2 linked regions of the Xenopus tropicalis genome follow. The protein of the gene in region 2 interacts with the protein of the main gene of each other region in a pairwise test. Links are inferred from orthologs where the notes say so. Each region holds a gene or a part of one and is shown on either strand. Other genes may lie near its edges.

Region 1 (4,131 bases), on a different chromosome or scaffold from region 2:
CCAGCCACCAAAAAACTAGCTTGAGCAGTTCCTAATATTTTGCCACCCGCCCACTGAGTTAGAAATCAAATGAGTCGCAAAAGGCCACATTTTCAATGATAATCAGCCAGTGAGCTGGACCCAGGCAATTAGCATTCAAATCAAAGCAGTTTCCTGCAGAGATGAAGTCACATGGGTGAGCTGGCACATAGAACCTTTTCTGCTGCCATTATCTGGGAGAAAACATAGAAATCTGCAAGCTTTTACACGGTAAAGTTTTACATTCTAATTTTTGGGGTGTTTGCACTTAATAAATACCAGACATTCGAGTTTTTGAAACAACTCAAATTTGAGGTTTTTTTTTTTTTTTTTTTTTAAAGTGCCAAAATACCTAAATCGAAAGGAAAACAAACTCGACTGTTGATAAATCCCACCTTAGACCTTGTGTGAAAAAAAAAATGCGAAATGCTGTCACCACTCCATTGGGGTCATTTAGTTAATGAAGTGCAATTGCAGTCAGTTGCACAAAAATTACCCTTCTTTGAAGTTACTTACATCAACATGCAGTCCTTGCACTTCTGTACAGTTGCGCTCTGCACTTCTGCCTGTTTTGAATTGCACATAGTTGTGCCTACTGATGCAGGGAGAACCCTAGCACTACTGCCATCTCTGAACCAGGCAGTAGCTTCAGGGTACTCAAAGTTGCCTACTAAAATAGGTGCAGTGCAGAGGCACCAAAAGAACCACGCTAAATCCCAGATATAACATCTGACAGATCAAAAAATAAAATTGAAGATATAGATGGGGCACCAACACTTAAATAAAAAAATGCAAAAATAAATTGTGCATGAGGGTGTGCATGATCAAAAACATAAATGCAATTTAGGAAGAGAGAATATCAATTTTCTTTCTTTCTTCCTTAATTGCAAAAAATAAAATTTCAGTGTTTACGATTTGCATCAAACGAAGTCATTTTTGACACACAACCCATAATCCTGTCAACTCTCCCTGGCAACCACAACAAAGCAATGGAATTCTGTGGGGGGGGGGGGGGGGGGAGCTTCCCAGTGGGTAGAAAACATGGTGATTGCATTTGGAAGTGCACTCTGTATCTGTGGTATCTTAAAGGAACAGTAACATCAAAAAATTATTATGTTTTAAAGTAATCAAAATATAATGTGCTGTTGCTCTGCAAAAAAAAATTGTGTTTTTGCTACAGAAAAGCTACTTTATAAATAAGCTGCTGTGTAGCCATGGGGGCAGCCATTCAAGCTGGAAAAAAGGCACAGGTTACATAGCAGATAACTAGTTGATAAGCCCCATATAATGAGGGTTTATCTGTTATCTGCTAAGTAACCTGTGCCTTTTCTCCTTTGAATGGCTGCCCCCATGGCTACACAGCAGCTTACTTATATAAATTATAGTAGTCTTTCTGAGGCAAACACACCAGTTGTACCAATGCAGGGCAACAGTACATTATATTGTAATTACTTTTATACACTTTCATTTTTTGGTGTTACTGTTCCTTTAATGACCCCTTGTCTGTGTCTGCCAAGCTGCTTTACATTAAAGTAACAGTAACATCAAAAAATGAAAGGCTACTCTAGTTTATATAAACAAAGCTGCTGTGTAGCCATGGGGGCAGCCATTCAAAGAAGAAAAGGCACAGGTTACATAGCAGATAACCGATAAGCTCTGTAAAATATAATGGAGCATTATTTGTTATCTGCTAAGTACCCTGTGCCTTTTTCCCCCCAATCTGAATGGCTGCCCCCATGGCTACACAGCAGCTTATTTATATAAACTATAGTAGGAAATCTGTAGCAAACATGCCAGTTTTACCAGTGCAAGGCAACAGTACATTTTAATTACTTTAAAAGGCTAACATTTTTTGGCATTACTGTTCCTTTAAGTAAATGTGTAAATTGTATAATGAATATGTGGAATAGGTAACAGTCTCTCTGCAACATGTAGGAAGTTGAATTGCATTGATCATCATAAATAATCATAAGTTAAATAATCATAATCATAAATAAAAGAAAAAAATAAACCAACAAAATATGACACCAGCACTACTGTTAAACTACAGAAATCCTGGTAATACACTTTGGGACAACGTGCATAGAAATAGTTAATTCTCACAAAGTGGTCAGACTTCTGAAGGATGCCATGGGTTTTGTACCGCTAAAACCTATGCATTATGATGTATTTCATGTGTGGATACACTTATGCAATTCTCTTAGCAACACAATTAGAGGTGGGTCACTTTTCAGGCATTCATTGCCTAGAAACACTAAAACCCGGTATTGATCCAAAACTGAGCCCCAGGGAGCCTTCAATCAGGAGAAAAGAGCAATGAAACACTGACCCCAGTCAAATGACCAACACTGCCAAGTCACGTGACAAGAGAATAGCCAACATCAGGCACCTAGCTCAGTACCTCCTCGCCGACCAAAGACGAACCCACATAACCTCGGACCGACAAATGTGATATCATAACCCAAAGGAATTTAAAAAAATCATAGCCAGGCGTACTATTCATTAGGGAAAAACGTTAGAGTTCAATTCTAACCTGCAAAAAATATAGTCAATAACCGCTTACATCCAAAACTCGCTCATATAAAAGCAACGACTACGTTTGAGACAGAAAACACGGCACGTGTTCCATTTAGCTGGGATAAAAAAAACAACAAAATCAACAATAAATAAATGTATTAATGCCTTCATACCCACGATAATGCACTGTATATTCAAGGTGGCTAGCGGTCTTCTCCGTCTAACAGCTTCTAGAAGGATCGAGGGAACAAGAGTCACATCCGGGAATCTTATGTAAAAGGAAAGAGAAGGGGGTGGTGAGACCACGATGACGCCTAGAGTCCGGAACCGGCAAATACTCAGGCTCCAATCCAACTGCGCGTTAGTGAGGGCGGGAACGTGCTGCCAATCGTGCCTGATGCGGTTCACTGCAGCACGCCTTGCGTTCCAACCGCTACGTGGCACTGAAATCAGTTGAATTGATTGACGACCACGTGAATTCTAAGAATTGGTATGGTTAAACACCACGAAAAACGCCTAATGATTTTTTTTACACTCACATACGTGGTGTTTTATCAGCCTTTTAAAATACGTGTCTGTCATATTAATGGCCGACAGAGATTTGCGTCCACTTGTATTCCGTAGGTCATAGTATATGCAGGCTCCGCCTTGTAGTGTATAGCTGTTGATGTTTCGTGTGTACCCACGCTAGGTAAGATTGTACATACATATATTTATACAAATTTGCGTCTTTGGAATTGTCTTAAGGGACAGCTTCCCTACCGAATAGCTGCAAGGCTTCACAGAAACGTGATAACTTTACAACATATAGCCATGCCGTTTAAAGAGCGAAGTTGTCATCTCATCAGAAGGGATGCTGCTTCTTTGTGACTGCAATAGACAATTCCAAGTTGCCCAGGGTCCAATATTGTAATCAGAAAACATGGGTCAAAGGCAATTTTTCATTACAAACAAGTACATTTATTACATGCCGAATACCCATGCTTTAAGCTTATCATATGAGCAGGACTACAAGGAGAAAACCAAGTGGAAATTGGTGGGCATAATTTACGGTTAATAGGGCTTGCAGGACATGAGTACAAGCAGCCAGCCTTGTATGTTGGTTGTCAACAATGGTTCTGTGGTTCTTGCTCCCTTTAAAAAGTTTATTGTAAGGTGCATTCATACATGGTTATCATAGCATTTCATCAGCCTTTCTATTCCCTTTATCAGCTTGTTCCCTCTTCTTTGAACTCTATCAATAAGGCTCTAGAGACCAAAACTGCTGCATATTTAAAGGAACAGTAACACCAAAAAATGAAAGTGTATAAAAGTAACTAAAATATAATGTGCTGCTGCCCTGCACTGGTAAAAGTTGTGTGTTTACTTCAGAAAGTCTACTATAATTTATATAAATAAGCTGCTATGCAGCTATGGAGGCAGCCATTCAAAGGAGAAAAGGCACAGGCACATAGCAGATAACAGATAAAACACTATTGTACTCTACAGAACTTATCTGTTATCTGCTATGTAACCTGTGCTTTTTCTCCCAGCTTGAATGGCTGCCCCCGTGGCTACACAGCAGCTTATTATATAAATTATAGTAGTGTTACTGTA
Region 2 (4,033 bases):
TTAAACCAGTAAAAATCATATTACGACAAAATTAAGAAAGGCAGATACAAACAGAAGGAACTAGCTTCACTAAAAAAAAAAAAAAACATGAGCTGATGACTTAACACAAAATTTATTTAAGTAAAAAAAAAAAAAAGTTAGGGCAGTCTTTCCCAATTAACTCTGCTTATCTGAGACCACTTCTTTGCAGAGCAAAATGCATTGCTTGGATTCTAAAGTGAACACACAAGTCACTGCACTTAAAAAAGTTTCCAGAACTAGGATGAGAAAAAAAAGTGTGGGTCTCTTACAGAAATGTAATGCAAAACCTGTATAACAGGTAACAAGTTGCTGCTCACTCCTATATTTGGCCTTATAGAAATATAGGCAGTTGACAACACCTAGTGCTGCTTGTGAACCTGCTTCCATCCTTCTAGCTCTTGTACATCACTGCTTTTGCTGTACAGCTTCTTTCCGTGCAGCGTCCTGGAGAAGCTGAGTGTCTACTTCATCAGCAGGGAGCTGTACATAGCGGACCACAGATCCCCGAATGAAACAATTCTTTACAGACAACTAAAAAAAAAATTTTTTAAATAATTACATTAACAAGTGTTTCAAAGCAGGATTAAAAGCTAAGTATCTAGTTTACTGGTGCAGATAAAAAATACAAAGAAAAAAAAAAAAGCTTACCATGTGTGGATATTTTTCTGGGTCTGTTACACTGATATCAGTCAGCTTAATGTTCAAATACTATAAAAAAAAAAAAAAGTGAAATCTTGTTTGAGATAATGAAAAACACAAGTTCCCCCCAAAAGTTCTATTCCAAGACATATTCCTCTATGCAGAATGCAAAAGATGATGTAGCACACTGATCACACATTAAATAAAGTGATTTATTGGCTTAATTAGCAGACATCTACTGGGAACATTTCAGCCAGTCTGAGAGTGACCCAAAACATTGCAAGAGTCGGTGCAACTTAATGCAACCACAATAACGGATCAGTGTGCTACAGCATCTTTGACCCTGGGCAGGTGGGTCTACAGACTGTTTAGCACCAGACACCTGAAAAGGTACTACGATAACAGGTAGAGCAGAGATATTCCTCTATGCAAACAAGCCCTCTAGGGTATAAAAAAAAAAAAATATGAGCAATATTCTCTTTGGAGAATCTTGTAGTAATTATGTTAATAAATATTCCCTGGTTTGACATTATACTCTGCAGGATGCGTACATTTTATTAAAGGCTCTGTCCCTTCAGGGGTTGTTCACCTTTGAATGAACTTTTAGTATGATGTGGACAGTGATAATTGGAGACAATTTGCAACTAGTCTTCATTATCGCAGTCTTTAATTAAATTTAGCTTTTTTTATTGCAGCTCTCCATTTTGGAATTGTAGGCGCTATCTGATTGCTAGGGTTTAATTTAACCTAGCGTTGTGGAAATTTCAGTAATGGTAAAGTCATTTAAAAGAAAATTTTCACTTTTTCATTTTTTTTTTGCCAACCCAACATTTTTCCCTGGCACTGAAAGATTTTATGCCAATTTCAGTTGCAAGGCTTAAGTGACAACATGGCTGAGCTGATAATTATGCTGAGAAAATAAACTACATTTATATATTTGCTCAGTTACTTACCTGATCAACTGAGTGTAGAGTACCACAGATACTGCAAGAGATAAGACCATTTATGTAATAGTGCAACAAAAGGCTAAATGGATGAAAGATGGCTAAATGGTAAAGAAGTGGTTATTTAAGGGTGTGAAGTCTACAGGAGCACAAGAAAATGTTTTTATAAATTCTGTCTACACAATACACTCTGCCCTCTAAAGTTTGACAATGGTCAGGGGGACTCTAAGTGCTGCTGCACCCACCGTGCTTACCTCTTTTGTGTTGGGCACATCACAAGTGCAGAAAGCACAACTGCACACACTGCACTAGGTTTAAGGGCTGTGACACACAGGGAGATTAGTCGACACGCAACAAGAAAGATTTGTTGCGCGGCGACTAATGTCCCCGTGTGTCACATCCCTTAAAGTACAGAAATTAGGTTCTTGAAATGTACCAGTGGCAGCTTTTTGCCTGACTGTATAGCATGTGGGGGGGGGGGGGGGGAAGCAATTCTAGAAAGAACATGGGGCAAAACACTCACCTCAGATCATTCTTCAGCTCTACCACCACATCCTTTCCTACAAGAGACTTGAAGAAGGAGTAGAATAGCTGTACATGATAAAAACAAGTAGTTATAAAAACCAGTTGCCTCTCCTGTAGCTTACCCAAGGCACATCACATAACAAATGTTGCCAAGATCCTTTACAGATCAAGGCAAAGCATGTTCTCTCATAAGACACAAACAATAACAGAGACAGACAAGTTGTTCTGTCCAACTAACATCAGGTTACAAATGATTGAAATGTTGTTGCAAAGCAGGGATGGCCAAATTCGAGCCCTCCCACTGCTATAAGACTACAAATCCCAGAATCCTGGTATAGGCAAAACATGGAACGTCAAAGCAGGGCATGGCCACTCAGAAAGCTGACCTTGCGACTATAGGGGGGGGGGACTGATTGCCAAACAGGTCTGTATACGCTGGTACACCACAAAATACATGGCTATCGACTCCTTAGGTTCTACCCTACAAAACGTGAAACAGTAACGGAACGCTAGTGTTCTTAAGCGGTTACCATTGCTTCTGTTGCAGTCGCACCACCCAAGCTCTATCTGGAAACTGAAGAACAAAACAGACGCCGCTGACAACGACAGATCTACACACCAAATGCCTTCCGCTCATTCACCGCTCTAGCGCCTCTGCATAAATCTCGCGAGAATTTAAAGCAGCAGGAATTTGCGCGCCGGCTTCAGGCACCGGCCGAATGAATGGGTCCCACGGTGATGACGCAATCATGATCTCGCGAGGACAGAAAACATTTTTTTCATGTAACTTTCTTGAGAAGTCCCCTAAACGTATTTTATCCCTGAACAACTAAAATACGTTAAAAAAAATACAGGTTTTATAAACTGGGAGCAGGTACTAAGTGTAACAAAGTATAGATTAGTTTATGAAACAGTAGAATAAAAATGAACTATATTAAGGTTAGGCACTCCACATTAGATCTGTAATGTCCAACCTTAAAATGTTTTTTTATTTTATTGTTTCTTCTGCCAGCAGAATTCTAACCTAGGGCCAAACTAGCGACAGTCAGACAAGAATCAGATTTATCTCTCCTTGTTCTTTGGATCCCTTTTTTGTATTTTTTTAATCCCTAACCTTTGGTTTGTCACTTGCCCACCTCCTGCCCTTTTTGAGCTTCTGCTCAGAGAAAATGTCCCTTGTACCAGTTTATTAAACAACTTTGGATTCCAGGTGTAACTACAGAGGCTGGAACTGCATTCTGACCCACAAACACAAACTATCAGTTCTTGCACAACAAACATCAATTGTAATGTTAAGGACCAATAATTACCAACTCCAGGTACAAGGCATGAGGGTTACGAGATAGCTAAAAGGAGTTACGCTGTCCATACCTGGGCTAGTTACTGTTAAAGGAGACATATCCTATAAAAATTATGAATGTGCCAGTGAATTATACTCCTCTAGATATAGAAGGAATGTGCTTAAAAAAGTTGTATTTCAGACAGATTTATTGAGAAATTCCCCCAAAACCCCACTAGTCCCCCCCATCTGCTCCACTTCCTGCTGGCTGAATTCTCTGGATGAGCTGGGGAGCCAGCGGCCCTCTATACACTGCACTGTAGGATAGGAACCAATCAGCAGCTAGGCTGACCTGATAGGGAACTGAAGCCTGTCTTTGCTTGTGTGAGTGCAGGTCTGTGATTGGCTCTCCCCCTCCTACTGTGCTTCTTGCAGGGACCGTTAGGACACGCCCACTCTTCATTTCAAACATGGTCAGAGAAGAGAGAGGATCTATAGGGAGCTCCAATAAAGGGGCCATTTTTACAAATAGGATTAATGTTTAGCCCAAAGGGAAACCAGCACCGTATATTATTCATAATTGCCTACAAAATTAGGGTTTTCCCCATTTATCAAATATGTCTCC

What was found. The genes of interacting proteins can lie anywhere in the genome.
Region 1: the proteins of lsm2 (region 2) and dnaja1 interact in a two-hybrid assay, tested with the Homo sapiens proteins (2 studies listed by BioGRID and IntAct). The link is inferred for Xenopus tropicalis from reciprocal best matches to the Homo sapiens genes LSM2 and DNAJA1.

What each region holds. Positions count from the first base shown.
Region 1 is NC_030677.2:94,451,940-94,456,070, forward strand, and holds the start of dnaja1 (dnaJ homolog subfamily A member 1), read right to left. Parts: upstream 2,801-4,131; 5' UTR 2,709-2,800; intron 1-2,708.
Region 2 is NC_030684.2:75,103,095-75,107,127, forward strand, and holds lsm2 (U6 snRNA-associated Sm-like protein LSm2), read right to left. Parts: upstream 2,801-4,033; 5' UTR 2,663-2,800; coding exon 2,660-2,662; intron 2,196-2,659; coding exon 2,128-2,195; intron 1,645-2,127; coding exon 1,614-1,644; intron 730-1,613; coding exon 670-729; intron 553-669; coding exon 427-552; 3' UTR 94-426; downstream 1-93. UniProt on the Homo sapiens protein: Plays a role in pre-mRNA splicing as component of the U4/U6-U5 tri-snRNP complex that is involved in spliceosome assembly, and as component of the precatalytic spliceosome (spliceosome B complex).